Linked DNA regions of Diceros bicornis minor. The protein of the gene in region 1 purifies or fractionates together with the protein of each later gene. This does not show direct contact. Links are inferred from orthologs where the notes say so. Each region holds a gene or a part of one and is shown in the gene's direction. Other genes may lie near its edges.

The links.
Region 2: the proteins of PKN3 (region 1) and ARHGAP26 purify together in Homo sapiens (affinity purification with mass spectrometry; 3 studies listed by BioGRID and IntAct, with this or other methods). This does not show direct contact. The link is inferred for Diceros bicornis minor from reciprocal best matches to the Homo sapiens genes PKN3 and ARHGAP26.

What each region holds. Positions count from the first base shown.
Region 1 is NC_080767.1:36,476,760-36,492,232, forward strand, and holds the start of PKN3 (serine/threonine-protein kinase N3), read left to right. Parts: upstream 1-8,850; 5' UTR 8,851-8,889; coding exon 8,890-9,263; intron 9,264-9,415; coding exon 9,416-9,614; exon of another isoform or gene 9,615-10,451; coding exon of another isoform or gene 10,452-10,466; intron 10,467-11,302; coding exon 11,303-11,543; intron 11,544-11,747; coding exon 11,748-11,893; intron 11,894-12,301; coding exon 12,302-12,413; intron 12,414-12,486; coding exon 12,487-12,614; intron 12,615-12,829; coding exon 12,830-13,013; intron 13,014-14,419; coding exon 14,420-14,566; intron 14,567-14,649; coding exon 14,650-14,759; intron 14,760-14,870; coding exon 14,871-15,014; intron 15,015-15,427; coding exon 15,428-15,473. Other genes in the region: protein SET, read left to right, coding at 376-433, 1,088-1,230, 1,592-1,695, 1,800-1,913, 2,522-2,692, 2,778-2,924, 3,543-3,566.
Region 2 is NC_080740.1:60,736,633-60,752,534, forward strand, and holds the start of ARHGAP26 (rho GTPase-activating protein 26), read left to right. Parts: upstream 1-7,726; 5' UTR 7,727-8,090; coding exon 8,091-8,244; intron 8,245-15,902. UniProt on the Homo sapiens protein: GTPase-activating protein for RHOA and CDC42. Facilitates mitochondrial quality control by promoting Parkin-mediated recruitment of autophagosomes to damaged mitochondria.

The sequences.
Region 1 (15,473 bases):
AGCTAGTGCTATTCTATGGCAGGTATACAATGTGATAAATAATAGGTATTAAGAATCTCTGGGTAAGGTTTATTTCTTATTTTTCATAATAGAAACTTTACCAGTTGGTCTCTTTCTTGTAATGGAACTCTTAAAAAGTGCTACAAACATTTTGAGTGGCCCAGCAGGTAGCGTGGTTTGTAGATAGTCTTAATTAAAAAGTAATTTGTCAGCTACAGTCATGAACACGTGGAGAGCATGCCTTGTAGTAGGCAGTTTAGTTTTTTTTTTAAAACAGGTTTATTGATATATTGCATATGACAGTGTTAACATCAAGAAAGCGAGTTAAATTTATCTTTTAATTAGTATTGAGTCTTATGCACCTTTTTCTTGCAGAAAAAGAACAGCAAGAAGCAATTGAACATATTGATGAAGTACAAAATGAAATAGACAGGTAAAGTTTTTCTTAATATACTTTGGAGAAGTTTTCTGAGATGCATCTTATGGTCTGGTAGTCATTGAAACTGGTCAAATAAATCTGGATCCGCTGCCTAAGTGGAGATGATTATGACAGTTGGAAATATTATGAAGATTGTGTTATTTTTCTGTGAAATATTTGTGGTCACCGAAAAGTTTTTGATGAAAGTACATTGACCTTGTAAAGATTGGTTTGCTTGCTAAGGGTACACATGGTTTGAATCATGGTGGTGGACTTCTCATGGTTTAGCATTATGGTGTCTGTGTTGCTCTGACTTGCCTTATAACTTTGTTACTCGGTTAGCAGCTTTTTTTTTTTTTTTTGACTTGATCTGCTTGAGGAAAACAGAAGTGAAGTTAGCCTGGTGGTAGAGTAGATGAAATAAATATACAGTGTTAGCAAAATGCTCAGTTTGGGCATTTTAATAACTGTCATTTATTGAGTGCCTATTGGTAAAGCAGATATGTTAGTTTTGACTTGAGTCTATAGCTACAAAAATCTAGATGATTTGGTTATTATAAATAGGTACTTTGCACTGCTCTAAAGCTAACAAGAGTCAATACTCTGCAGTCTCTGCAGTTTTGTGTTTGTCAAATACCGTCACTATCAACGTCCTTTCATTCGTTTCAGACTTAATGAACAAGCCAGTGAGGAGATTTTGAAAGTAGAACAGAAATATAACAAACTCCGCCAACCATTTTTTCAGAAGAGATCGGAATTGATCGCCAAAATCCCGAATTTTTGGGTAACAACATTTGTCAACCATCCACAAGGTATGTTATGGGAGAGCATCATTATAAAGGGTGTGAGCTGTCCACTTGTTAAAGACTAGAAGGGTCTTGGTTGAGACTTGGTCCATCATGTTGGGTACATGCAGAGATTGAAACACTCGGGGAAAGCTTGTAATTAATGCTTTCTGTTTATTTAGAAGAGATTGTATTCTGAGGATTTTGTTTAATTACTTGATAGAAGATGGTGACAGCTCTGACACTCTGAGCCATTTGGTTTTCAGTTAATAATAGATTTATGGAAACAAAGATGCTTACTAAAATTTGGTAAATTGTAAAAGGTGTCACTTAAGTTGCTTGTTAATACTTGTCTGTTGAATATTTGACCTGCAATTTGCTGGTCTAGTGTCCGCACTGCTTGGGGAGGAAGATGAAGAGGCGCTGCATTATTTGACAAGAGTTGAAGTGACAGAATTTGAAGATATTAAATCAGGTTACAGAATAGATTTTGTAAGTATCAGTAACTCATCTTGTTTGCCACTGTGGAAATTAACTTGAGGTTGGTTAGAGGAGCTGTTTGTGTTCATTTCTAATCCTCTAATCCTTTATTATAGTATTTTGATGAAAACCCTTACTTCGAAAATAAAGTTCTCTCCAAAGAATTTCATCTGAATGAGAGTGGTGATCCGTCTTCAAAGTCCACTGAAATCAAATGGAAATCTGGAAAGGTATTTCAGGAATTGTTGGGTAAAAATATCATTTTGTATGTTTTGGTTTAGTTGAACCATTTACCAATACTGGTGCTTTGGTAATGTGTTAAATGCAGGTCCTTAAAATAAAAAACTCTGGTGTGTTCAAGTCAAATACAATAGCTTGGATCTCATTATAAATTATAGTGCAAGTTTTTGAAAAAATGGACTACATTTTTTGGTTTTCTGCGTTGGTGACTGAGCTCTTCAAATGGCCGGCCACTTCCCAAAATCCATTTATGTCTGCATTTAATTAATACATGTATTTTAAATTATCATATTATGTTATGATAATGGTTCTTAAAGTGGAACTAATTTTATGAAAAAGCCAGATTTAGATGGTACTTTTTTGGGAAAAGCTTGTCATACAAATTTGACACCAGTTTTTGCAGACCTAGAACTCTAGGACTTCTTTCTCTTTACCTGCTGGACGATTTATAATTTCTTTTAGATAAGAATAGTAGGATAGATAATGTACTGATGTCCATTTTTTTCTTATGCTTTTGGGTTAAACTCTTAATTGTTTAAATTATAGGGAATTTAGGTGTTGTAAAGAGCGTATATCCAAAGTTTTTCCATCCATTTAGGATTTGACGAAACGTTCGAGTCAAACGCAGAATAAAGCCAGCAGGAAGAGGCAGCATGAGGAACCGGAGAGCTTCTTTACCTGGTTTACTGACCATTCTGATGCAGGTGCAGATGAGTTAGGAGAGGTCATCAAAGATGATATTTGGCCAAATCCATTACAGTACTACTTGGTGAGTTGAGAAGGTTGTTTTATTCAAGGGTACACTTGTCTCATTTGTTTGAAAATGGGTTTTTACAGTAACTTGTTTCTTTAAGGTTCCTGACATGGATGATGAAGAAGGAGAAGGAGAAGAAGATGATGATGATGATGAAGAAGAAGAAGGATTAGAAGATATTGATGAAGAAGGGGATGAGGATGAAGGTGAAGAAGATGAAGATGATGATGAGGGGGAGGAAGGAGAGGTAAAAGAAAATTTGGTTAAGTCCAAAAAGAAAATACGTAAAGAATTCAGCATGTTACTTTTGAGCTTATATATATTGTATAATGGAACTAACTCAACTAATTGTGTGTGTGTGGATTTGTAGAAAAGATAAGCTCTTTTGTTGTCCAATATTGAAGGAAATTTTGATAAGTTCATTGCATCAACCATTCAACTAGTTTTCCTTTTGAATAGTTTTTATGACTATTCAATCCTGTCCTTCCCTAGCCAGTACTTAATGAAAGTGATATGGACTGTGCAGCTGGTCAGATTCTGAGGAAATCTCCCAAATAAAAATTTGCCTGTTGTGGACAAACTATAAAATTCTTACAGTCAGAGGGGGATAGATTTGTTTTTGGTTGGATTATTTGGTCTGAAAGATGTCCGATGATTTGGTTAGTGTGGAAAAGTTAATTTATCTGAAACAAGATCACTGAGTCTTGCAGTCGAGATTGGATGCAGATTGATGTGTATGTTCATAAGATTAGACGTCTCCGTAGCGTGTTGCTGTGTTCTGTGGAGTCTGTCGTAGTCCGTAGGAATGTTGGGGAATGACCTTAGAATTAACCTAAAGATTAACTGCCCACTTTTTCTTTTGCAGGAGGATGAAGGAGAAGATGACTAATGGAACACTGATGGATTCCAACCTTCCTTTTTTCATTTTCTCCAGTCCCTGGGAGCAAGTCGCAGTCTTTTTTTTTTTTTTTTTTTTTCCTTTCCCCTCTTGTGCTCAGTCGCCCTGTTTTTGAGGTCTCTTTTCTCTCCTTTATACCATGGTTCTCAACATATTTTGGGGGGAAATGCTGTGAGCAGAATACAGTGGGAAAAGAATCTCTACCCCTTTCTGTTCCAAATTCATTTTTATCCCTTCCTGTCTCAACAAAAACTTTATGGAATCAACACCACCGTGCTCTGTGGGAAAAAAGAAAAACCTTCTGCTCCCTTAGCTCTGCTGGAAGCTGGAGGGTGCTAGGCCCCTGTGTAGTAGTGCATAGAATTCTAGCTTTTTTCCTCCTTTCTCTGTATATTGGGCTCAGAGATTACACTGTGTCTCTATGTGAATATGGACAGTTAGCATTTACCAACATGTATCTGTCTACTTTCTCTTGTTTAAAAAAAGAAAAAAAAACTTAAAAAAATGGGGTTATAGAAGGTCAGCAAAGGGTGGGTTTGAGATGTGTGGGTGGGTTAAGTGGGCATTTTGACAACATGGCTTCTCCTTTGGCATGTTTAATTGTGATGTTTAACGGACATCCTTGCAGTTTAAGATGACACTTTTAAAATAAAATTCTCTCCTAATGATGACTTGAGCCCTGCCACTCAATGGGAGAATCAGCAGAACCTGTAGGATTATTTGGAATTGACATTCTCTATTGTAATTTTGTTCCTGTTTATTTTTAAATTTTCTTTTTGTTTCACTGGAAAGGAAAGATGATGCTGAGTTTTAAACGTTAAAAGTGTACAAGTTGCTTTGTTACAATAAAACTAAATGTGTACACAAAGGATTTGATGCTTTTCTCTCAGAATGGATATACTTAATATGACTTTCCAAGTTTGACTTGTATAACATGTTGTCAAACTTTGTCACCCTAACTCCGTATTTTTTGATACGCACTTTGCAGGATGACCTCAGGGCTATGTGGATTGAGTAAAGGGATTTGAATCAATGTGTTAATGTCTCCATAGTTGGGAAATATCATGGGTACAATCTGTCATCAGTTTCTGAAAATTTTCACATCATTTGGGATACCAGATTGCTCAAAACTCAGTTTTGAGTATGTTGTACTCTCGATTTGTATCTCTAATTGGCATTTTAAAAAATGGGCCTTTATTTACCTGGATATAGTAATAGTGCCTGCCGCCACCATCAGACAGACCTGGTGCTCTAATGCCAAGTTACACACGGGGCAACTGCTGGCATGTCTTCATTGGCACTGTAAAACGTGGCCGAGGAGACAGGCTCTCAGAGTAAGAAGTCCGTATTGGTGGTAAGAAACTCAGGTTAGGAGTACTTTTGTCTCCAAGTACCGGCTATTTAGCATATAGCTGAAATGAGACCCATCTGTGTGAATCTGGGTGTGACAGTGGACTCTGCTCTGTCTGCTAAATGCCATTGTGCATAGAATAACATTTTGAGAAGCTACCTAATGCGTAAGCTTTTTAATGCTGTAAAATATAGTAGCTAAAGTTAAATGCCACTTTTTCAGAGATGAATTAATGGACAGCCTGGTCAAATTCAAAGCTTTTTGATGTATAAAACTTTATAAATGGAACTATTCCATCAATAGGCAATGTGACGAAAACCTGTCTAGATGGGTAGTCTGTAATTTCTGCACAGGTCTCTGTTTAGTAAATACATCACTGTATACCGGTCAGGAATCTTGCTCCAATAAAGGAACATAAAGATTTTTTTTGACTGGGGTCATTCTCCTTGTTTTGTAGAGAAATGTTACTTTTGAATTTAGATGATAAGCTAGTATTTTTGTGTTTTGTTTTGTGTTGTTTGTGTGCATAATGATTGGGAGCGGGGGTAAACTGCTCTTCCAATAGTTTAGCAGTAAGTATAGCATAGGTAACATCTACACGGAAAGGTATGTATGAAAGTCATGGACAAATCCCTATGTTACTTGGAATGTAGTAAGTTCCTGAAGGGATTGAGTGTTCTGATTTTGAAGTCTCAACATTTAAAGGACTTTTCACTAGGAGAAAAAACCAGTAGTCACTTGAATTAATATTAAGTAAGCCTGTGATTTTTGTTTCATAAAGTTACAGCTTACCCAAACTGGTTTTTATGTGCTGGTGAGATTGTAGTACTGTTAGGTTATAGGTCACATTTAACCAAATTTTATAATATTTCTTTGTTTTGGGGAGTGGTAAAAAAAACTAGGAACCCCTAAAGGTAATTTCCTCCCAACTATTGAGATTACCTTTAGATCCCCCTGTGCCTGCAAATCTTCTGGAGTGCCAGGCTGTGAGAAAGCAAAGTGGGCCCTTAGTGTGCTGGAGATGGGCTACAGAGGGGCTGATGTGCTCTGTGCCCAATTGCAAGAGGAGTTCTTGGGCTGGCCCTTAGGCAAGTGTGTATTGGGAAGTGCCAGATGAATGGCTCAAAGCTCCTTTGGTACAAGGACATTTAAAAAGAGAGCAGATAGTGGCTGTTTGGGGAGTTTCTCTAGGAAGAGGGAGGACATCTTCCAAAGCTGTGCCATACTTGCCTTGTGAGGGGCACTTAATAACTTCCATGAAGTGAGCCACAGAGGACAGTAGGTTGTCGCTACATTTAATTTCAAAACCTTAAGGAATATTCTATTTTAGACCATCCCTGCAGTTGAAGTTACTTGTCTCCAGTGATGTCCTGATTTCTAAAAGACTTAACCTTACTGCCTGACCTCCGTGACAAGCCCTTAACTGTTTCACCCAACTCTGGCTCTAAAGTGTAGAGTTTAAATGGTCCACAGAGAACCCAGGTATCTTGTCGGCTGACATTTGCTTTACCTCTGGCTTACTTCACTTGTATCAGCTGTTTGGCTGCTAAAAGCTATGAGGTTTTGACTCTTGATGGATTTTGGGGGCCTTTTAGAGGATTCAGAGGATTCCTAGACAATTGTTTCTGGATTAATTTGGTAATCTTTATCATTATTGCTTTATAATACAACTGGTTTCATGGCTTCACTTAGTCCCAGAAACAGTTTTTCTTTTTTGTTAGATTTTGCTATGAACTCTTTATGGCTATTGCCAAGAATGGAATTCTATTGCAAAAAGTGAAGACTCGGGATTTCCTGAAGATTGAGACAAGTTCTCTAGGAGATGAATGAATAGCCATTTCAGTTGTTTAAAGAGGACAACATCTTAGCCTTTTGAAAAGTCTATCCCCACCCCAGCAGTGACCATTCCCATTTGAATATGCAGCTGTGTTTATGAAGACTTACAAGTTTGCTTTTTAACGAGTCTGAGGGAAAGGACTGCAGTTTTGTGATTAGAACAAGAATACAGAGGACTTTAAAAGTGGAGGGTGTGTGCCTGTGTGATTAGTTGGTGACCTTGTGTACTCAGATATTACCCAAGAGAGGCAAATGGAAATGTAGATGGATTGAGATTTGCAATATTGAGAAGAAAAAGTGTATAGAAAGGGAAGAATATTTCCTATGTACCCTGCTAGGAAGTTTTAGGTTCCTTTCAAGTTGATGTTGATGCAAGTTCAACAGCCAATTACCTGTGGAATTGGTTTGCACTATTCACTATCCACTGGATGTTGAACGTGAACTTCAGTTTCACGTAAGAATTGCAGTTTAACGAAGTACCATCACCATCAGACATAAGACGCAGCTATCTGGTCAGACCCATCCATCAGCCCAGGACTTGGTTTCCCTGTAGGTTTGTCCAGCCTGGGGTTCATTAGGGAAGATGGATGGATTCTGCTACTTCTCAACTCCTTTCCCTGAGTGACAGGTGAGGCAGTGAGACACTTCACAGCAAACTTGGGAAATCATTTCGAGTTCTTCCACATAATTCAGCTTAATTCAGCTTTCTGGCTGTCGCAGTGGATAAATGATCCTCAAGATGGGACATAGACACCCTCATGAAAGGGGGAACTTTGCTAGTTTGATTCATCGTTTTTTCCTCAAACCTATAACCTGCAGTCAGAAACTGATAGTCTTGGGCCGGCCCTGTGGCTTAGCGGTTAAGCGCGTGCTCCGCTACTGGCGGTCCAGGCTCGGACCCCGGGCGCACACCGACACCGCTTCTCCAGCAATGCTGAGGCCACATCCCACATACAGCAACTAGAAGGATGTGCAACTATGACATACAACTATCTACTGGGGCTTTGGGGAAAAAAAAGGAGGAGGATTGGCAACAGATGTTAGCTCAGAGCCGGTCTTCCTCAGCAAAAAGAGGAGGATTAGCATGGATGTTAGCTCAGGGCTGACCTTCCTCACAAAAAAAAAAAAAAAAAGAAACTGATAGTCTTTTTACTTCTAAATTATGGTTAATTAACATTCAGTTCAGGGCAGCTTGATAATAACCCCAGTTTAGAAAAGCCTACTATGTGTTAATGTCTAGCCCTCAACAACTCTATGTGTAAAAGTGTCACTAGCCTCTGATGATGGGTGTAGGCATGTCCCCCAGGGAACTAAGTTGCCTTTGCCTTTGTTGATGCCACTTGGTTGATTTCCCAGTGCAAGACAACCCAGGACTGTCGACGGCTTGCCAATTTCACTTGCCAGTCCATCGTGAGGAAGGTGGTCCAGGCAAAGTGAAACTGACATGATTTCCTTCAGTAAAAGCACTGGACGGCGCCCATGCCAAGTCAGCAAATAAGCCACATTCAATATTTGACCCTTACTCACTTCTGGCCCCTTGGGCCAGGCTCTTTCCATGAAGCCTGGCACCAAGTGCTGGTGAGCACACCATGCCAGGAAGTGGCTAAACAGCCCCAGACTAGGCAGTAAAGAACCCGGATCCCCTACACACGCAAGCCACTGCCAGTTCGCCTAGTGCGGGCTGGATGCTTTCTGAGACTGGCTATGTCTCAAGCTGTAAATGCGTCTTCTGTTTAAATGCGCTTTTTAGGACAAAGGTGCAACTGGCTGAACCAGAAAGCTCAAGTCTGGTCAAGTGATGGGGGACTGAGAGACGTTTGGTTTATTCATCTGTGACTTGTAATTTGGCTTAATTTGGGTGAGGTTTTACTTTTTTCAGACGTATACATTCTTATATTGACTCTAGACAGGGCTAACCAGTCCGTTGGGGCGACAGGTTTGGGATTAGCCCATTTTACACCAACGACATTCAAAACGGAGACAGTAGCAGGAGCCAGGCGGTGGCGGGGTTCCTAGGAGCGGACCGGCCACACAGGCAGCGCCCCGCGGCCGGCAGGCGGCGCTGTCCCCATCCGGGCGCGCTCCACTGGGCGCGCGGCGGGGCAACTAGAGCACCCCGCCCGGGAAATGTCCCTTCCTGCCCTCCTATGCCGCGGCGGGGGTCAGTGTCGCATGGAGCGGGAACTACGGCCTCAGAAGAGGGGGCGCTTGGCCCCAAATCCCGCGGAACATCGGGTCTGGGGGAGGCGCTGGGGCCTCGGGGACGGGAGTGGGGTCCGGGGCGCGATCCGGCGCGGCCGAGAGGCGGCGCTGGTCCCAGGTCCAGGAGGACCAGCGGACCTCGGGAGGGGGCGCCCGATCCCGCGGCTCCGCCGCCGCTTCCCGGGAAGTTTCAAGTTTGAAAGTCCTGGCGGAGGAGCCGGGGCTTCCGGAACCTGCGCGGTGGAGAGGAGGGGCCGAGCGGCCGGAGCGGCGCCATGGAGGAGGGGGCGCCGCGGCAGGTGAACCGCGCCCGGAGAGGCCGGGCTGTGGGCGCGGGCCGAGGGGGGCGGGGAAGCCTCATTCACCGCCCCGGGCGCCCCGAGCTCCCGCCGCGTCCTCAACCCCGCCCTCGAGATCCGCACCCCCAACCACTCCCCGTATCCCCTCCCAGCCCCTGCCCCGGGCCCCCCTACACGTTCGCAGTGCAGACCTGCGCTTTGGGGGTAAGTCGTTCGTGCCCCCTGGAAACGTCCCCAAATCACCCCCGAGTGACTCAGAACCTCCAGTCAGGCCAGTCCATGAGCACGTCCGAATCCGCAGTGAGGGCCACCGGGGTGGGCCCCAAAGTTTCCCAAAATCGATTCTTCCAGGTAGGAGTCTACCGTGCGGGCACCTGGGGAGGCGTCCTCGGGGGAGAAGAATGTGTGCGCAGGCAGAAGGGGTTCCGGGAGGGGCCCGTCTTCGCGCACCTGGGGGGTCCTTCCCCAGCACTCGGGCACCGGGGAGTGTGCACGCCAAGGGGAGGGGCCTAGCCCAGCGCCCCGGCGGGAACCTTCGGGTACACAGGGTTCCGGCCCACATGGCGAGGGGCGGGGTTCCTGCCAGAGCTGGCAATAGGTGCGCATGGGCGCAGGGGCCAAGGCTGTGCGCTTGTCTGTTATTGGGGAGGGAGAGGTGGAGTTCTAGCCCAGAGCAAACGAGGGCGTGGGCATTTGTGTACAAGATAGGGTCCCGGCCGCAGAGCAGAAATGGAGAGGGGTGTGTGCACATGGCGGGGCTCCAGCGCCAAGCAGACAGGACCGTGGGCTATGCTTGAGGGTGAGGCGTCCTCCACAAGACTCCTTGAGTGCCCCCACCCCAGGCTTGGGCAGCCTTCGGGGCTACGTCTGCCCCCTCCCACCGCCTTCCTCCGGAGGCCCCTCCGCCTGTTCCAGCAGTGGCTTGTACACATTTTCCGATTTCCTGTGAACCTCCGCCCAGCAGCGGCGGCTGGGTGACTCAGGACCCCGGTGGCCGGGCCCCCAGCTCTGTGGGATCTTTGTTTGCTAGGGCCTTTGGCTCTGGCCCTCTGGCCTAGGGCCCTCAAAGGATTTCCTGAGCCCCGCCCCTGCCCCTGGCCTCCCAAGGACCGGCCAGCAGGCCAGTGGAGGCATGGGGTAGGGGGTCCCTGAGGCTCGGGTAGCCACCCCTTCCACTGGGCTCCGGAGATGGATGGCGGAGAGGTAAGGTGGAGGCCCTGCCAGAGTCCCTGTGTGGGGGGCATTGTGGGTTACCCTGGGCTGAGGTCAGCTTTGGCCCCGGTTGGTTTGAAATGTTGGCCTCTTGGAAGGAGGTTTTCCTCTTCCTTGCTCCAACCTGGGGTGAAGCAATGAGAAAGCCTCCACTTCCTCCCAGGAGCTGAGCTGGGAGTGGGTCCCCAAGACCTCCTCAAATCCCCTCTCTGTGCCTCTGCTCTGCCACCTGAGACACTGGGACTTCAGGGGACAGCCCTGGCCTCTGCTTGGGCCTCCGGCTGCCCTCTCTGTGTGACCTTGGGTGAATCTCTAGCCCTTTTCTGGTCCTGAGTCTTAGCCTGAATCCCAGCCTAAGAGCAGCCTGGTTAAGCGTGGCTGGCAGGCAGAGGCTAGGGCCTGAGAGATGGTGGTGTCTCCCTCTCCGTGTTGCGGCCTTGGGCAAATTCCTTGACCTCTCTGTGTCTCAGTTTCCTCATCCATAAAATGGGGATAATGCCTGCACCTGCCTCACCTGCCTCGTAGGGTTGTTGTGGAGACTGATGAGTTAATGTATGCAAAGCTCTTAGAACAGAACCTGGCACCCAGTCACACCATATAAACGTAACAGTTTTTCCCCTGACCCTTCTCTAATGGCAGAGGACAGGAGCGTGGGCTGGAGAAATAGCCTTAGGGTTTACATGTGGCTTAGGGGTCCTAGCTCTGAGGTCAGAGATGCTTCCCAACCCTGCGGGTCAGTCCTGGGTGCCGTTCCTCCCCCTCCACCTGTGGGGAGCTTAGGGCAGTGGCGGGGGACCGAGTGGCATGACTCCTCTGCCGTTCCACAGCCTGGGGCGGGCCAGCGGCCCCCAGAGGATGAGAAAGAGGTGATCCGCCGGGCCATCCAGAAGGAGCTGAAAATCAAGGAGGGTGTGGAGAACCTGAGGCGGGTGGCCACCGACCGCCGCCACTTGGGCCACGTGCAGCAGCTGCTGCGGTCCTCCAACCGCCGTCTGGAGCAGCTGCACGGGGAGCTGCGGGAGCTGCACGCCCGCATTCTGCTGCCCAGCCCCTCGCCCGGCCTGGCTGGTGAGTGAGGAGTCAGAGCAGACGCCTCGGGGCGGGAGGCGCTGCCGACCCAGCTCCCCGGCCTTGACCTTGGCCATTCTCAGATCCGCACCCCCAGGGCCTCAGGTCGCCCCTGCCCAGGAGGGGCAGGGAAGAGAGAGCTAGGCCACAGGGGGCTCTCGGCTCTGGTGAGGGGTTCATGTGTCCCACGCTCCATGCGCACAGAACCTGTGGCCTCAGGACCCCGGCCACCGGCAGAGCAGCCGAGGGCCGGGCTCCTGGAGGCCCTGAGGAGGCAGCTGCAGGTGGAACTGAAGGTGAAGCAGGGGGCCGAGAACATGACCCGCACGTGCGCCAGTGGCACGCCCAAGGTGAGGCTCCCGGGGCTGGTGGAGAGACCGGCGCTGCTCCAGCCCCCATTCTGACAGGGACCTTTAACCTAGCTGTGACTCTGTAAGGGAGACACAGTCCTACCGCTTAGTCTGCTGGGTGAGCCCCCGACCCCAGCTTGGTGGGGAAGGCGTGGCTCGAACCCCTAGTCTAACAGAGAGGGCACCACACCGGTCTAATGGGAGAATCCCAGCCCCCGGCCCAACTCCCAGCATGACGTGGGGAGCTCGGCCCTGATCTGATGGGGGAGGCTTGACCTCAGGCCGTGTCTGGTCTGATGGAGGAGGCTCTGCCCTGGACCTAGTCTAACAAAGGAGGCTTGGCTTTAACCCTGGTCTGATAGGGGAGGCTAGCCCTGGTCTGATGGGGCCTATGTCATGACCCCATAGGAGAGGAAGCTCCTGGCAGCTGCCCAGCAGATGCTGCGGGATAGCCAGCTGAAGGTGGCCCTGCTGCGAATGAAGATCAGCAGCCTGGAGGCCAGTGGGTCCCCTGAACCAGGTGAGGCCTTGAGAAGTGGGGATGGGCAGGGCAAAGCAGGGCATGGGCCTGAGGGCTGACCCCCTCCTCTCAGGTCCTGAGCTGCTGGCAGAGGAGCTGAGGCATCGACTGCACGTCGAGGCTGCTGTGGCCGAGGGTGCCAAGAACGTGGTGAAGCTGCTGGGTAGCCGGCGCGCGCAGGACCGCAAGGCGCTGGCCGAGGTCAGACCCTGGCCCCGCCCATGGCTGCTCCTCTCTGAGGGTCTGCTTGTTCTCATATGAGCCTCTGCAGCGGCAGGGGGCACGCCTGGGCTGGCTGTGTGGGATGGCAAAGAGGAGGCACATTCTGTTTAGACCTCACGGGAGGGCTGTCTCCAGGTGGCCCCCCGCCCCAATCTTCCCTGGGCCACTACCCACTGCCTGTGTCCCCTCTGCAGGCTCAGGCCCAGCTCCAGGAGTCCTCCCAGAAACTGGACCTCCTGCGGCTGGCCTTGGAGCAGCTGCTGGAGAGACTGCCCCCTGCCCACCCTCTGCGGGGCAGAGTGGCCCGGGAGCTGCGGACTGCTGTGTCTGGGAACCCCCAGCCTTCAGGGACCCTTGTGAAGCCCACTGCCATGACAGGTAGCTGGGAGTCCCTCCCACTTCAGAGCTCCCCTTCCCTTTGCGAGAGGACCCTGAAACACAGTGCGGAAGAACTTTGGAGAAGGGTTCCAATCCTGGCCCCCTCCCCAGCTGTGTGACCTTGGGCAACTGACATCCCCTCTTTGAACCACAGTTTATCCATCTATATAACGGGGATGATAACAGCACCTACGTCATAGGGTTGCTGTGAAAATTCAGTGAGTTGTTGAATGTGAAGTGCTAAACACAGAGTCGGCACAGTCAGCTCACGATCAATGAAGCTATTATTTAAATGAGTACCCATGATAATGCTTCAAGTGCCAGTGTTAGGGAGCTCACAGCCCTGGAGGCCTTAGTACCCAGTCCTGGGCGGCTTAGACTGTTAGAAAGGTCTTTCTTATCTTGAGCTGAATCTGTCTCCTTGTAGCGGCAGCCGAATTGCAATCAACAGATAATCTGAGTGTGTCGACTTTGGAAGCCCTGAGCTTCCCACCTGGGAGACCATGCCAACTAGAGAGCCCAGCGCCTGCCCACTCAGTAATGGTGCAGGGGTAGACAGGCCACATCCCACTGTGAGCAGAGCTAAAAAGGGGAAGTACAGGGGCTGGATGGGCCCCCTCACCTGGCCTTGGGGAATTAAGGAATGCTTCCTGGAGGAGGTGGTATCTGAGGTTGGCCTTGAAGGGCTTATGGGAGTTAGCAAAGTAGACAAGTTGGGGAAGGCAAGGGGAATGGTTCGTTAAAAGGCCTAGAATTCAGTTACTCAGGGCCACCCGAATCCTGTCTCCTGGCTAAACCCCCCAGTTCCTCGAGTTGTTCTTCTTAAGATGATCTTCCAACTCTGAGCACTGCCTTTGTTTACAAGCCCCAGGCCCAGACTCCCTAAATGGTGCTCTTAGGGCTAGAGTCCCACTGCTTCCTCTACCGTTTGAGGGACAAAACTCTAATGACCTTAAAAATGAATCCACTTTGTTGGCAAAATATGCTTTGTGGGAGGTGGGGCAGAGCTGGCACTCATTTCCACTGTATAGATGGGGAAACTGAGGCCCAAGGAGGATGGGAGACAAGACAGGCAGCCAGGCTTTCTGCTCCCCGAGCTCTCCTCCCTGCCTCGCCCTGAGCCCTGTGCAGCATGTCGTCAGGGCCTGTGGCTCCGTGAGGCCTGGCTGAGATCTGAGTCTCGCTCCTCTGTCTGTGTGTCCCCCTCCTTTCCCCAACAAGAGAGTCCTCAGGAGGGGAGGGCCAGTTGGTCTGTCTGGAGGGTGGCAGGTGGCTGCCAAGGCCTGACGTGGGCAGGGTGTGGGTTTAGCCGCCTCCAGGAAAGGAGAGCATTTTGGGGTCCCAGGGGCCCGTTGGTGGTGGCAGTGGGAGGATGGCACTAAGTCCTTCCTCATGCTCCTCCACAGGGACGCTGCAGGTCCGCCTCCTGGGCTGTGAGCAGCTGCTGTCAGCCGTGCCTGGACGTTCCCCGGCGGCCGCGCTGGCCGGGAGCGCCCCCCAGAGCTGGCTTCGGGGCAGGGCCAAGCAGCAGCGTGGTGGAGGCGAGCTGGCCAGTGAGTAGGGGGCACAGGGAGCTGGGGGGCAGCAAAGGACACCCACTCACAGCCTGCCCTGAGCCCTGGCTCTGGCGCTGCAGGCGAGGTGCTGGCCGTGCTGAAGGTGGACAATCGTGTCGTGGGCCAGACGGGCTGGGGGCTGGTGGCCAAGCAGTCCTGGGACCAGACCTTTATCGTCCCCCTGGAGCGGGTGAGGCTGGCCCTTGTGCCATCACGGGCCATCCTGGGCCACGGGGTGGAAGGCCAGCCAGGTAGGGGCTGGTGCTGTGCCCCACCCCTCAACCTGGCCTCCCTGATGTAGGCCCGAGAGCTGGAGATTGGGGTACACTGGCGGGACTGGCGGCAGCTGTGCGGCGTGGCCTTCCTGCGGCTGGAGGACTTCCTGGACAATGCCTGTCACCAGCTGTCCCTCAGCCTGGTGCCACAGGGCCTGCTCTTTGCCCAGGTGCCCATTGGCCCCTGCCTTCTGACCTCACAGGCCCCTGGCTCCATCGGAGCTTGATGGCTGGAAGGGCCTTCAAGACGGTGCGACCCCCCTGTGCACAGAAGTGGAAATTGAGGCCTGGAGGGAGGAGGTCTCCAGGAATGCAGGATTCCCAGTCCTTTACAGGAGTCTAGAGGCCTGCGTCCTTGTCCTGACTCTGCACTGCCTCATGTGTGACCCTGGACAAGTGCCTCTCTTCTTTGGGCCTCAGTTTCCCCATTGGTACCAATGAGGATGTTGAATCCATCTTTCTGGGTCCTTCTGGCTCTTGCATCTATTGACACTGGAGGCTCAGGCTGGGATCCTGGAGGCAGGGGCGGTGCCAATGGCAGATGGGGTAGGAGGGTCTTCAGCCCTGCCCCCTGCTCCCACAGGTGACCTTCTGTGACCCCGTCATTGAGAGGAGGCCCCGGCTGCAGA
Region 2 (15,902 bases), on another chromosome or scaffold:
GTTCTGCACCTGGGAACTGAACCGGGCTGCCGAAACGGAGCACGCCCAACTTTAACCACTAGGCCATCAGGGCTTGCTCTCTTCATTTATTATCATCTTACTTTTAAAAAGGAGTATGTTAATACAAAAAAAAGAGTATATTCATACCAAATTTGTAGGAAGGACATAATTTCAAAATAAAAAGCACTCCTTCAAATGGGATACATGTTGCTTCATGAAAAACTCATTATGTTGTCATCATTTTTCTCATTTTGTGAGAAATCAGAGAAAACTTCTTCCTGGACTGGCCCAGGTCCTCAGATTAGCTTTGGGAAGCACAGAGGTAGTTCACATGGTTACTTTTCAGGCAAAACAACCTTTAAAAAGTGTCTAGTTTTCAAATTGGAAAATGTTAGTATTTTAGTGATGGAACACTTTAGTTTGAGAGTATTAGAGCCACTAGTTTTGTAAGTCAAATTTTTCTATAAATGAGTGTTGGGTAGTAGAAATACAATGATGGGAAATTCCAGAGAAGAAATACAAAGGGAAGTGTGCAAGTAAATAAAAGAAATCCACCAACATCCACTGTAGCCCCACAGACATTGCATCCCTTTGCCCTGTGTTTAGATCCATCTTAGTACTGATTTTTCATACTGGCTTATCCCTAGAAGAAAGTGATAGTGGATAATTTTTCTGCTGAAATAGTGTCCTCCTCTACCCCTGCCATGCCACCTTCAATAGACACAGGCGTCCACTAAAAACCATAGCATCACCTCAAAATCAGAGCCATCTAAAGGAATATGAATTCCCATGGAAGGAAAGCCCACCCATTCAAAAGGATTTGAAGTTGGATAGTGATTGTTTTCCAGTTGCCTTAGAAAATTTTTTAATTCCTCATGACAAACTTTCTATTTTGCAACAACTGAAATGGCAACCAAAAGACTAGAAATTACCCCTTTCTCCTGTGTGTCTCTACTCCTGCTGTCTATGGTATTGTTCATTTCCCGAACATGTTTCATAGAGCATTAACTATGTGGGATGTATGTTGGGGGAAAAACAGGATTCTGTGCTCAATGAAATAGGAGAAATACTGAGTTAAGCAAACTCTTATGGGATTATTTACTGCAGGACTCCTCAGGACCTCTAATACACTAATTGCATTTAAAGCATACACCACGTATAAGAAGATCCAGAGGCAAGAAAGAGAGCAAGGTGCAGAGGACTGCCTTAGTTTAGGTTACTTTATGTAAGTAAGTGAATTTATTTGGTCATTTTAGCAGCAACAATTGTAAGAAATAGACCAATTATTTTCATTGACGCAGATAATCCTGGGTCTCTATTGAAATGATCTTCAACAATTTTCTGGTTTCATCTCAGCCTTTGAACAGGTTTATTTTTATTGATGAATTATCCTTTTTCTTAAATATCTTTCCTCATTTAATACACATCTCTGCCCTGTAAATGCAGATATTATCTTTACTCTAAATGTTTAAGAAACCATCCTTAAAACTAATGATTATTATTTTCTGTTTTGGTAACTATCTAAGGACCATGTATTAGTGCAGATGACCAAAATTCAGGAGGAAGTGAAAAATAAGGTTTTGTGGTTAGTGTATTATAACAGTTAGGGTCGTGTTTGGCTTTGAGTAACAGAAAACCCCACTAATGGGGCTTAAATAGGTTGTGTTTTTTCCCCTTCATGTAATGAGTGGTTGGGAGGTGGGCACTCTGGGGCTGGGTGTTGTGGTTCATGGATGTCACCAATGCACCTGGTTCTCTCTGTCTTCCCATCCAACAATCTTTAGCATGTGGCATTCATTCTCCTAGTTGCAAGATGGCTGCTGCTCCTCCGTGCATTATATCCACATTCTAGGCAAAAAGAATAGGGAAGAAAGGTGGGCAAAAGGTATGTGTCAGCTGTCCTTTTATAAAAAAACCAAAACCTTTCCAAAACCCCGCCCAGTAGATTTCCAATTATATCTCAATGGCCAGAAAAGTGACACATGGCCACCACCAGCTGTGTGGAAGCCTGAGGAACTGAATTCTTTCGCTGGGCACTTGGGGTTCTACTAGTAACATAGCCTAAGTTTGGAACTAGATTACCAGTTAGAATCTCAGCTCTGCTACTCAGTGGTTATGTGACTTTAGGTGATTCATTTTCAGTTTCCTCCCCTATAAAATAGAGATAAGATAATAATAGGGTTGTTAAGAGATTAATTGAGTTAATAGTTGTAAAGTGTTTAGAAGAGTGTCTGGTACATAGTAATTGTTATATGAGTACTTTCTCAATAAATCAGTAAGGAAGAGGGGAGAATGGATATTGGGTGGAAAAGTAGCACGCATGAAACAAAATCATAAGAAATGGCAATAAAAATATTGCTAACATATAAATCAGACTTGTGTAGTACAAGAAATATGTTTCATTAATTTCTTGAGCCAAAGAATGTTAATTAAGTGCTGCCACTTCCCTTAAAGAACCACAAGCCACTGGCTTTATAAAGATGGATTACTCTTTCTTCTTTTGAGGAAAATAGGATTTCATGTCTGCTTCAGTCAATTGCTTCTACACAAATTGTAGGGTCTGGGATTTAAAGCCAAAACAAATTAGAGGCTTATATAATTATTGATATATTTGAGACATACCAGCAAAAGGTCCTGGAAAAACACATACACTTCAGAATGAGATACCTCCTCTTCTATTCATGTGTGCCCTTATTCCATTTTTAGGTGTTTGGTTATTATTATTAATTTTTTTAGATATATCGAATGTCTTTCTTATAGACATCTTACATGGAGACAGTTATTTAAGACAGATAGATTTGAATTCTAAGCCTATTTCCACCACTAGCTATGTGAACTTAAGCACTTACTTATCTGAGCCTTAGTTGCCTTATCTGTAAAATGGGGATGGTAACAGTACCTACTCCCAGGATTCTACTAAAGGTTAGGTGAGGAAAGACAATAATGTGCTTAGCACAGATCCTACTACACAGCAAAAGCTTAATAAATATCATCATTAACACCACCACCATCATCATTATTTTTTAAGATCAACTTGATTGAGGTGTAATTTATATACAATAAAATGCACCTATGAGCTTTAACAAATGTCAACACCTGTGTAACATCACCACCATTGAGATATAGAACATTTCCATCACCCCAAAATCATTATTTTCAAATGGGAAAACTGATGTCTTATCCAGTAATAATACAAAGGAGAAGTCACTGTGTAAAGAAACATATGGTATCAACTGCAAAAAAGAATAGAGAAGTGCTAAGCAGAATTACAAAATCATGGGAATGTAGCAGAAGGAACATTCATTCTGAGGGGGTTGGGGGACTGGTCAGGTGAACTGCATATTATTGCTTCTCCTATTTAGCAGCAATTCCCTCTTTTCCTGTTAACAGCACTTTGCTTGTCCTTTGGGGGAACAACTCCTCCCCAATGTTTTATGTTGTGGGGGGTCAGAATTGGCTACCTCAAAATGTTTCTTTACCTTGATTATTTTCAAGAACAAAAGACTCTGAAAGAAACTTTGACCTCCCCTTCACTAACTGCCTAAAAGAATTTAAGATAGAAGGCCTGTCCCCAGGACAGGCCATCACCATAGATAACTCTGGGTATGGATAGACTGGAAGGGTCCTTGCTAAGCCTATTCTTATCAAAACTCTGAAAACCAATTAAAAGTGGAAGTTACCCCTTGTAAGAGACGTTTACACTTATAAGGGAAATCTCCATTTGTAAAGGTATCTCCCTCTCTGTACCAGGAAGAAGGGGGGATGACCTTATCTTTAGAAACTCTTATCAATGTGGAAGACAAGGACTTAAATCTGCATACCCTTGTTTACTGTGCTTTTCTGGTAATCTCCCATAGCTGACTCCTCCCACCCCCAACATCCTCCTTTGTCTTTACCTGAATATGTTATTTAAGATTAGAACCTCCGCCATTTTGTCGAGTTACCCAGTGTTTTCTTGGGTCTCTCCCATGTATACATGTTATAAAGCTTTGTTTGATTTTCTCTTGCTATTCAGTTTCATGTCAATTTAATTTGTAGCCCATCCAGAAAGGACCCAGAGTGGGTGGAGGATAGTCTTCCTCCCCTTCGATGTGTTAGGAGTGGGGTTGTTTCACCTCTGGCTTCAGTCTTGTAATTTCTGCTGGAATTCTTGAAAAGAAAACTCTCTTACTGCTAACATTGCTGGATGTAAGTTTGGAGAAGCAGAGAGAACCACTGAGAAGGAAGGCTCCACAAAGGAAGGTCAGCTGGGGGAAGAGAGAGAGAGATATTGTACTGATGTCACCATCTAAATCCCCAGATGCTGCCCTGAAAGCTCCATCTATCCCTGGTCTTCAGTTACATGGCTACGAACCTTCCTCATGTTCTCCAGCTTGTGTTCAGTAAACATGAGTGAGCAGCCCATGCCTGCCTCTGAGAGTGCTTTCCCATTTTCTACAAATGGGCGGTAATTGTATGGCAGATGTAGAGTTAATTGGACAATTGAAGTCAGAAACAATACGGATTTAAATACATTGATACTAAAAATGGAAGTATTTGGACTAATTGTTTGGCTGATTTGAAGGAATTCAGACATTCATCCAAAGAATTTAGGTCAAATCATTTTGCCTAAATTATTTCTATATTTCATATGAAAGTGATTTCTGGGCCTTAACTGTTCACTTCTATTTGCATTCATAGCCACCACCTATGTTGTCACATGAAATCACTGTTTCTTCCTTATTAAACATGTTTCTCTCCCGCTGGCATCGTGCACCTTTGAAGTATCCATTGCTGTTCTAAGTGCTGGGGCTGTTGCAGTGGACAACACAAATCTCTGCCTCATGGAGCTTATTCTCTAGGAGGAGAGAGACAACTGCACCTCCATGTGCCAGTTTCTGCGCTCAATACTACTGCATTCTGATTCTCTTTTTCTGAGAATATTGCCGGAAGTGTGGGAAGTCTTTGTGGAAATTCTGGTTTAAATTCATAAGAAATTTACGTTATCCACACACTTACATATTTGTCTGAAAACAGGCATGTTAGGTATATGTTTGTGTATATGTATGTGCCACACACATTTCTCAGTTAAGTAACCTGCTTCAAGTTACAACTCTGGGCCTCAATTTCTCATCTGAAAATTGGGGCTTGTCATAATACCAATCTTACCTTGTAGGGATTATATGCATGTAAATAATTTAGCATGGTGTCTGGCACAAACTAAGAGCTTAAATGATAGCTCATATATCATTATTATTAATACATATATATTACTTTATATGCGTTTGCCCAATATTCCTCAACAGGAGGAAATAAATAATTGTGGACCTCATTTTGTTTAATTGATTTAACATTTATGGAATAGTTTACCATGTGCTAGGCTCACTGTGGCAGATTGTTTTTTTCAGGGATGGCTACAACAATATCTCCCTTTCTTGTCACTTCCCCATCTAAAGGTACAGTCTAATTCCCCTCTCCTTGAATCTGGGTGGGCTTGTGACTTGTTTGTAGATAATGAAGGTGGTAGAAGTGTGTGACTTCCAAGGCCAGACCATAAAAGGTGGTGCAGCTTTCCTCCCATGAGCTGGAACGTTCACACTGGAGTCCTGAGGCCGCCATGCAGTGGGGAAGCCCAAACTAGGCCACATGGAGAGACCACATGGAGCAGCCCTGAGCCTACTGGAAGAGAAGGAGATGCTTGGCTAGCCACCGAGGCCCTAGCTTCTGTCACCATCTGACTCCAAACACATTAGAGACCCGAAGCTAGTACCACCTAGCTAAGCTCTCCTCCAAATTCCTGACCCACGGAGATCATGAGAGAAAATAAAATGATTGTTGTTTTAAACCATTAAGTTTTGGTGTGACTTGTTTGTATCAATAGAGAACTAGAACACCTACCTTTAAGTGCTCAAGATATAGCATTAAACAGATTTACTTTCATGGAGTTTCCATTCCAGATCTTTCTCATCTTTGGCAAATGAGGAACGACTATTTCAGGGTTTTAATTATCTGTCAGCTGTTTGGGCCTGCTATCAAGTCTAAATTTGTAGATACAGCTAGCAACTCATTCATTCATTTCTTCATGTAATAAACCAGTCAGTTAAATTCTCAACATAGATGCCTTCTCTGGCCCCCTGAGCTGGCAATCTGTTCTCCATGTTCCCACGCACTCAGGCCTTCTTCTATCCTACCTTACTGTGCAGCATTGCTATTGCTTGTTGCTCTGTCTCTCCCACTGACCATCAGCAGTCAAGTTCATTCTGTGTTATTCATTTTTTTTTTAAACTTGCAGTTATAAGACAAATAGGTTTTATTTTATTATTATTATTTTTTAATTTTTATTTATTTTTCTCCCAAAGCCCCAGTAGATAGTTGTATGTCACAGTTGCACACCCTTCTAGTTGCTGTATGTGGGACTCGGCCTCAGCATGGCCAGAGAAGCGGTGCGTCGGTGCGCACCCGGGATCCGAACCTGGGCTGCTAGCAGCGGAGTGCCGGCACTTAACCACTAAGCCACGGGGCCGGCTCTGTTATTCATCTTTGTATCCCTAGCATCTAGCCTGTTGCCTGCACATAGCAGACCTATTTAAAAAACAAACAAAACAAACAAAAAAACACTCAACTGAAGGAGGGCTGCTAGTTCCTGGACATACAAATAATTTATTCAAGGACAGTCCCTATCCTCTGGGAATCCATAATTCAGACTAGACACTGTGGGATCCAGCCTGACAAGTGCAGTGAGCGGGCTGCCTGAATTGATTCCTGTAGTGAAACGGGGACAACAGGGCAATGCATTGCGGGTGGGAGGTGGAGAGGGACCAGGGAAAGGATCCATTCATTTATTTTACAAATGTTTATCAATTACCGTAGCACACGTAGCACATGGGAAGCGTTCAATGCTATCTGTTATTAAATGCCAGCCACTGTTCTAGGTCCTGGGGGAGCAGCAGCGCACAAAACTGCGGTGGCCCGGGCCCTGGAGAGGTTCACCGCCCAGCGAAGGACGACAGGCAGTGGACGTAATTATGTAAAATTGTGCTGTTTGCTGAGCAGGAAAACAACAGGCGGCTGAAATTCTCGTAAGGATGTTAGATCCTTCGGCTGGGGGCAGCCGTGGGCGGGTTTTGAGCAGGAGTGGCCGCCAGGGGGACGGACTGTAGGGGGCGGGAAGACTGCAGGCAAGAAAAGCTGGTAATTTTAAGATGCAAATATTTTCTGCCAGACTGGAAGAAGGAGCGTGTGCCTAGGGGCGACGTGGTCGCTCGGTGCACTTGGGGTTCTCCCGGGGCAGGGCGCTGCATTTTGAGTGCAAGCTCGATTGCTCAGCAGTGCGAGGCGGGCTGAAGAGAACTGCAGCCCTAATTCCCAGTTTTTTCATGCTCAGCACATCTAGGCTCCTCCGCTCCCCAGACTTGCAGACGGACCATCTCGGGCTCGGATCCGGACCGCAGCAGGCGGGCAAGATCCGGGGTGGCGGGGGCCCATGCACCGCAGCGCTCACCCCCAGGGCTCGGGGTCTGCAACACCGCGCGGGCGGGACGGGGCGGAGCCTGTGCTGCGGTCCTAGGCGGTGGCGTGGGTGCCGCCCCTGCCCCAGGCCCCGCCTCCAGACCCCGCTGATTGGGTCAAGGCCGCGGAAGGGCCGGGCGTCCCTGGGAGGCCGGAGGGTCGGGCTGAGGTGGGCGCGCTGATTGGTCCGGGCGGGATTAGGTCATCGCTAGCAGGTTCGGGCGGCCCGGACGCCGGCGGGGCGGCCGAGGCTGCTGTGAGAGGGCGCTCGAGGCTGCTGGAGAGCGAACAGGCGAAGGAGGCGGGGAGGCGGCGGCCGCGCTCGCTCGCTTCCCGGCGCCGCTGCGGGTCCGCCGCTGCGCTTCCTACTCGCCTGCCGCTCCGCTGCTCGCCGCCGGAGCAGCCGCCCAGCGGCCGGGTCCCGGCTCGGTTCGGAGTCTTCCGCGTCCGCCGACTCTGAGCGGAGGGCGAGCCGGCGCCACACCTGTGGAGCCGGCGGCCGTCGGGGGTGCCGGCCGAAGTCCCGCCGCGTGCGTGCTCGGGACTGCAGGCCGGCCGGGCCCCGGGCTAGGCGCACCCCCTGGCTGGGCGCCGCGGGCACCATGGGGCTCCCCGCACTAGAATTCAGCGACTGCTGCCTCGACAGCCCGCACTTCCGAGAGACTCTCAAGTCGCACGAAGCGGAGCTGGACAAGACCAACAAATTCATCAAGGAGCTCATCAAGGACGGGAAGTCACTCATCAGCGCGCTCAAGAGTGAGTGTCCGCGAGCCCGGCGGGGACGGGGCCCGGGGTGGGAGGGGCCGTCGGGCGGCGCTCAGCCCGGGGCGTCCGAGCGCCCGGCTGGATTTTTGCCCCCGGGGCGCTGAGGACGGGTGTAGGTGCTTGTAATGAGGGGGGAAGGGCACATAAAATAGGCGAGCCAGCAACAATCCGAGGAGGAAGGAGACCCGTCGCCCAGCCGCTTGCGTTCTGGGATGGCCCGGAGGTGACCGAGCGCGAGCCGTGCTCTGGGGCACCGCGGTGGGTGTGAGCGGCACACAGGTGTCCCGGGAGTGGAACTGTAGTGCCTGGCGCGCCGCAGACTGTTGGGAAACCCCATCGCGTCCACGACTCAGGCTCCCTTGGGGAAGAGTTGCTCACTCCTGGGTGCCCAACCGTGGGAATGGAGCGTGCCCTGCCAAGGGGGCGCTGCCTCCCCTCGGGAAAAGGCGGGTTGTGACTGCTACGTTCTCTGCACGCAGCTCCAGCCTGCTCAAGGCCGCCGGGTTCTCCGAAAGGCACGGGCGCTGCCCAGAGCAGGGCTGGGTGGCAGGTTTGGTTAGCTTGCGAATCTTTGGAGTGTTGGCAGCCCGTAACCCCCAAATCCAGAATCAAGGCCGTGTACGTGTGCAGGTTCCGATTCCTGTGTTTAGCAGAAGGTGATAGGGGTGGGAGTACAGAATCAGAGTGTTCCTTTACTCTAAACTGTGGGCGAGGGTTTAAAAATAGAATGAACATATCCTGACTCTCCCTCTCCCTCGCGCTCCTTTTTACCTCTCCCATTATCCTTGAAAACTCAGAGGTCTGAGAAGGAATGGCCTCCATCCTCTCTCAGAAAGGAAAAGTTTAAACTCATCCTTAAAGATTCTCGAACGTTTGGTAAAACCGTTTTTGCTTATTTCCTTTTGGTAGGGGAGAATTGAAATTTGCATTGTGTGTGTGATTTTTCCCTTGACATTTGCAGAGCCAGAGAGTTTCTCCTTCTGCCAAACAAGAGAGCTCTAGGGATGAGCGCTTGGGTTGTTGAGATCGGTTTTGGTGCCTTTTCAGTCTACCCATATACAAATAGTTCAGTCCATCTTTTAGTTTTGAAAATCAGGAATAACATAAAGACAAACAGTGGAATTGTCTTTACTTTTCCTGTCTCTGTGATGGATTTCTTAATAGGTGACATCTTTCAGCTAAGAAAGGTTGCTTTGGCAGAGTGGGGGCCTAGCTCTGAGAATTGTCCCCAGGCCTCCTTAAAGGAGACTTATAGAAGTCAAGTGCCTGAGATGTCATTTTGTGAGCCTGTTGCTTCTAAAAACGAAACGGGAGACAATGGAACCCTACTGCAGCAAGTGTCAGTCTTTTCGGGTGAAATAAATAAATATGGGACTGTGATGCGATGAGGCTTCTCAGAGGCAGGGTCTCTGCTGCAGACTGTGGCCTGAAGCATATGAACAGACTTCCTTTGTCAGTGACCGGGGCCATCCTTGGTTCAAGAACACATGATCCTTGGTTTGGAGTCAGTTAGGGGCCCACTTATTGGTTGGGCCCATGAATTTTGATTGAGTCTCAGGCCGGCTTTAATTGGGCCGCTGCTTTATTCAACAAACGTTTGGAGTGCCTGCTGTGTGCTGGGGCCTGCCCTGGGCACCGAGATGTAGCAGTGAATATTCTGCTGCCCCTGTGGCCACAGAGACTAACTCCATGCCAGGCACTGCTTCACCCATGAATTATCTCATGTGATGTTATTCATTTTACAAATGAGAAAAGAGGCTTGGGGGAATAACTAGCCCAGAGCCACACATCTCTAGCATCAGGGCTTAGTTTTGAACTCCTGCATGGTCTGAGCCAGAGATGGGGTTCCTGTTGATGCAGAGCTCTCAATCCTGCCCCATCCTGCTTGACTGGAATGGACCCCTGGACCAAGCCTGTTGGAATTTGGACTTGTCTTGAATTTGGCTTGAATCTGAGGAGAATGCATTTGTGCAACTAGCAATTTATTTGCCTGCTACTATTTTGGGGCCGGGGTCAGAATCCTTTGAGTAGGAGGAAACCATGCAGTGATGGGGTTTTAGAGTTATTTAAGTTGTCTAATGGAATGGACCAGCCTTATAACTGGGGGAAAGACTGATGGGGAACTAGGTGTTCTAATCTCTGTATATCCAGCTGTGCTATGAACTAGACTCTTCTACTACTACAACCACTTGAACAGGTCATGTGACCTCTCAAAATAAAGAGGGTGGAGGCTGTCGGTATTTCCCAGGCTTAAGGCTTTCGGTTCTCATTAGGTGCTTGCTACATTGTATATTACTATATTAGTATTTGTGTATTATTTTTCTTTGGATTATCTTTATCACTACTGTAAATGTAAAGCCAGTGTTTTTAAAAATAAATACATAAAAACTATTAGTTACTTAAATAACTATTTGAGTAACACTGGTTTAGATGTTTTACAGTCTCTTCCAGCTCTAAAATTTTATGGTTTTATTTTGCAATTCGTATTCACAGATCTTTGGGTTTAGATGTTTTGTGTGTGTTAATCGGAGGCAATAAAGCTGGCCTCCCGGGATTGCCAGTGGTTAACTAGATCACTGTTATTGCTACTTCCACTTTATGAATAAGGAAACTGAAGATCAGAGAGATCAGAAACCTGCTGAAGGCGACAGCGATGAAGTGTATTTAAACCCAAGTTGTCTGATTCCAAAGCCTGTGCACTTAACCCTGAAGCAAAACTATTGTCTAAGTCACTTGTCTCTTGAATCTCCTTGAGAATCTGATAAACAAATGAACCCCTTGAAGTCTTTCCCTGGAGTCCAAACCTCTGATGTGGACCAATAGAAGATAAGCAATAAAATAATTTGGGACCTACATTTCAAAAAATCCTGCTTTTGCAGAAAGTTCTTGTTTGATGTGTAGGAGCCTTGGTGACTCCCAGTTGCTTTTTTCTGTGCTGATTTGTCCCGGCATTTTCTGTGGGCTCTCATTTGCCCAGAACCCTTTCCTTGACCTGATTGATCAGAGTCTCAGTCAAGATGACTCCGTGTGTTTAAGTTTCTTTTTTTTCTGTAGAGATAGTAGAGGCTGGAGATGAAGTCCAGACTTGTAGAATGAAGGGTTTTAAGATTTCTTGGGTTTGCGTCTTCACCCCATCACTTGCGGGTTGACTGTGGGCACGTCACTAAGCCTGAGGTCCTCCTGTGTAAAATGGAAATAGCCACACTGACGTCCTACGATTGTGTGAGTACTAAATGAAACAGTGCATGTGAAGAAAGTGCTTAGCTTGGAGCCTGGCCCATAAGAACTGCTCAATTAATGGTAGTTGTAATCATCTTCCAGCATTCAGGGTTGTCAAGACTCAGAGCAAAAGTCACTTAAGAGCAGAGGGACATTTTTTGGTTTGCGTGCAGGGAGTTAGGCCCATGCCTCCATCATGCCAGTTGTTGGTAACTTACACAGTTATGTATGTATGCTGGGAAGAATCCTGGTAACCTGGTTTGCGTAAAGTCATGGTTATGCCAGAAAAGCCACACAAGTTAAAAAGAAAAAAAATAAGTAAATCTCCCAACATTTTTTCTGTTCCTAATAACATTCTGGTAAACTTAAATTTTCTTTCTTCTTGCTGAATTAATCTCCCTGCTCAGTGGCTGGGCTGGCTGCCTCTCTCTACCTTGCAGGAAAAGCTTGCAGAGAGCCTTGGACTTCATGTCTGGCTGTCTCATGGACTCAATGGCAAACCAAATGTGGTTTTGTAGAAATGAAATTGAATCAGGCTGTTGGTTTTGAGGGGTGGTGTGGGTTTTCAGGAACTGTGTTTCTTTCCATCTTGATACTTGGTTTATGGACTCGTTGCTGGGGATATGCCCCTTTAAATTTGACTTGGGCTTTCTGAGATAGAGTGAGTACCCTTATTTTGATAGTCTAAGGTTGGAGGGGTGGGGTAGAAATGCACATTTTACAATATCATCTTTATTGAGATATAATTCACCTTACCATACAGTTTACCCATGTAAAGCATTCAATTAGTGGTTTTTTGTACATTCCCAGAGCTGTGCAACCATCACCACAATCAATCTTAGAATATTTTCATCACCCCCAAAAGAAACCCCGTTCCCATTAGCAGTCATTTTCCGTTTTCTCTCAACTTCCCTCCTACCCCCCAGCCCTATTCAACCACTAATGTATTTTCTATCTCTAGAGATTTGCCAATTCTGGACATCAGAAGTGCAGTTTTAATAGTTTTCTTTTAGATAGTGGTGACCAACTTTAGGCATAGAGTTCTTGATTGGAATTTCAGGTGCGGAAATTTTGATCCATAAGCTGCTCTCCTTCAGGAGGGTTTAAGTAGAGATGAGGTCCCAAAGAGTGAACCGTGTCGCAGGGCCAGGAGGAACTTGGGTGCCTTTGTGTTTCCAACCCGCGGAGGGGAATGGGATCATTCTAGTTCTTGGTACTTTGATAGATGCAGAGGAGATTTACCAAAACATGACTAAGAATCCAGCCCCTCTGTCAGTGAGCTTTCAGCCAAGTTGGGGCAGGGTGTGTGATACTGAATAAAACCTTACTCTGTGGTCGATATCCTGCTGGGTGACACTTTTTTTTTTTTTTTTTACAAAATGAAGTGAATGTATTTATATTTCTCTAGTTGAGCTTGTAGTTGGCATGAAACTTTTTGGAGATGGCACGCCTTTTTCATTGCATTCTCGGTGGTAGTAATTCTGAGATCTCTGACCTGCATCATATCTCCAAGGCAACCACAGTGAATTTTAGCAGAAAGGAGTAGTCTGATGCCAGCAGCTTTTGTTATTGAGCACTTGCCAAGTGCCTGGTCCTATGCTAAGTGCACACATTGTCTCATTAGTCCTTACCACCATCCTGTGAGATAAATACTCTTATTTTTCTGCATTTTATAGTTGGTACCCCAACTTGTCTAAGGTCACACAGCCTGGAAGTTGTGCAGCCAAGTTTTGAACCTGGCAATGGACTGCAGGGCCTTCTCTTGAACATGACCCCTCAGTGCTTCAGTAAATGCACTGGCAGTGAAGATGCAAATTCTTCATAGATCTAGACCTTAGAAAGGAGAAACATGCAACAGGTGCTGGATTAAGTGAGAATATTGTCCCAGTTGTTTTTCAGACTCTGAGTCCTGGGTAGCAAAGAATAGCTAAGAAAGCTATTGTGCTTTGAAGTTTTGCGTTTCTCTCTCCATCATAGGATTAAAGAGCCATTGTAAGCTAGAGGGGCAAATGAGGGCGTCTATCTCTTGGCTTTGTAAAGCACTAGAGTTTCTCTTTGGGGTAGCACTGAGTGGTCACCAATGATTCTCTTTTTTATATTTTTAAAAAATGCATACTTTTATAGCATTAATTTCTTTTTTTATTTAATTTTTTATTGAGATATAATTGACATATAACATTATATTACTTTCAGGTGTACATAATAGTGATTTGATATTTATATATTTGTGAATTGATCACCACAATAAGTCAAGTTAACATCCATCACCACACAGTTACAAATTTTTTTTCTTGTGATGAGAACTTTTAAGATTTACTCTCTTAGCAACTTTCAAATATACACTATAGTCTTATTAACTATAGTCACCATGCTGTATATTACATCCCCAGGACTTATTTTATAACTGGAAATGATTCTCTTTTAACTGGGTAATAAAGCATCAAAGAGGGAGGCCAAAAACCTGTTCCTGGGTCTGATTTGGTGAGATAAATGGTTCATCCTCTTTGCGCCTTAAAACAAAGGTAAAAAAAATCAACATCAAGATTTTTGTGCTTTAAAGCATGTCACCCTTTTGTACTTCTTTAGGATTTGCTATAGGCTTTTTGCAGTAATGAGATGAGCCCTTCTTGAATGGTGTAAACTCCCAAAAGATGTTCAATGCCAACCTCCTTGGTTTAGGAGTAATTGTATTACTTAAAAAATCCTAATGGAACAAATGGGAGTTAGATAGCAACAAGTCTTTCCCAGTTCTTTTGCTTTGCTTTAGCACCTTGCAAATAAAAGAAAAAAAAAAAAAGACATTTTCTAATTACTTGTAAACGGTGATAATTTGCAATACTGACATTTGGAGTATTACTCATACAAATATAAACAACAGCAAATGAAGTCCAAACAAGATTTTATAGTTTTTATATAACATTGGCTTTAAAAAAAAGTCTCCACTTTAATCCGTTCTGTTCTTGATTGGATTGAATAAATTACATCTAATCTGTAGTTCTTAACCCACTGACTGAAGCTTAAGCTCCCTTCCCCCCTTCTTAATAATTAATAGACTTTATTTTTTAGGGCAATTTTAGGTTTACAAAATAATTGAGTGGAAGGTAAAGAGAGTTCCCATATAGCCCCTCACACCCATTCTTCCCAGTTTCTCCATACTGTTAACATCTTGCATTAGTGTGGACATTTGTTACAATAGTGATACAATGATATTAACTAAAGTCCATAGTTTACATTAGGGTTCACTCTTTGTATTGTACATTCTGTGGGTTTTGACAAATGTATAATAACATGATTGGCCATTACAGTATAATACAGAATAGTTTCACTGCCCTAACAATCCCTTATGCTCCACTTACTCCTTGTGCCCCACCCTTGGCAACTGCTGACCCTTTCACTGTTTCTCTGGTTTTGCCTTTTCCAGAATGTCATATAGTTGGAATCATACAATATAGTACGTAGCCTTTTCAGATTGGCTTCTTTCGTTTAGCGGTAGGCACTTAAGGTTTCTCCATGTCTTTTTGTGGCTTAATAGCTCATTTCTTTTTATCAGTGAGTAATAATCCATTGTCTGAATGTACCACTTGAATACATCCATTCATCTTCTGAAGGACAACGTTGTTGCTTCCAAGTTTTGGCAATTATGAATAAAGCTGATACAAACATTTGTGTGCAGGTTTATGTGTGGACATAAATTTTCAACTTGTTTGGGTAAATACCAAGGAGTGCAGTTGCTGGATTGTATGGTAAGAGTATGTCTAATTCTGTAAGAAACTGCCAACTGTCTTTTAAAGCAACTGGACCATTTTGCATTCTCACCAGCAGTGAATGAGAGTTCTTTTTGCTCCACATCCTCACCAGCGTTTGGTGTTATCTGTGTTTTGGATTTAGCCATTCTAATAGGTAGATAGTGGTATCTCATTGTTTTTTTTAAATTTGTATTTCCCTAATAACATGATGTTGAGCAACTTTTCATATGCTTATTTGCCATCTGTATATCTTCCTTGCTGAGGTGTCTGTTCAGATCTTTTGCCCATTTTTTTTTTTTTTTTGTGAGGAAGATCAGCCCTGAGCTAACATTCATGCCAATCCTCCTGTTTTTTTTGCTGAGAAAGACTGGCCCTGGGCTAACATCTGTGTCTATCTTCCTCCACTTTATATGGGACGCTGCCACAGCATGGCCTGACAAGGGGTGCCTTGGTGCGTGCCCGGGATCCAAACCCCGGCCGCCAGCAGCAAGTGCGCACACTTAACCTCTACACCATGCAGCCGGCCCCCGCTTTTGCCCATTTTTTAATTGGGTTGTTTGAGTTTTCTTATTGTTGAGGTTTTTTTTTTTTATTGTGGTGAAATATACATAACACAAAATTTACCACTTTAATCATTTTTAAGTGTACAATTCAGTGGCATTAAGTACATTTACAGTGTTGTGT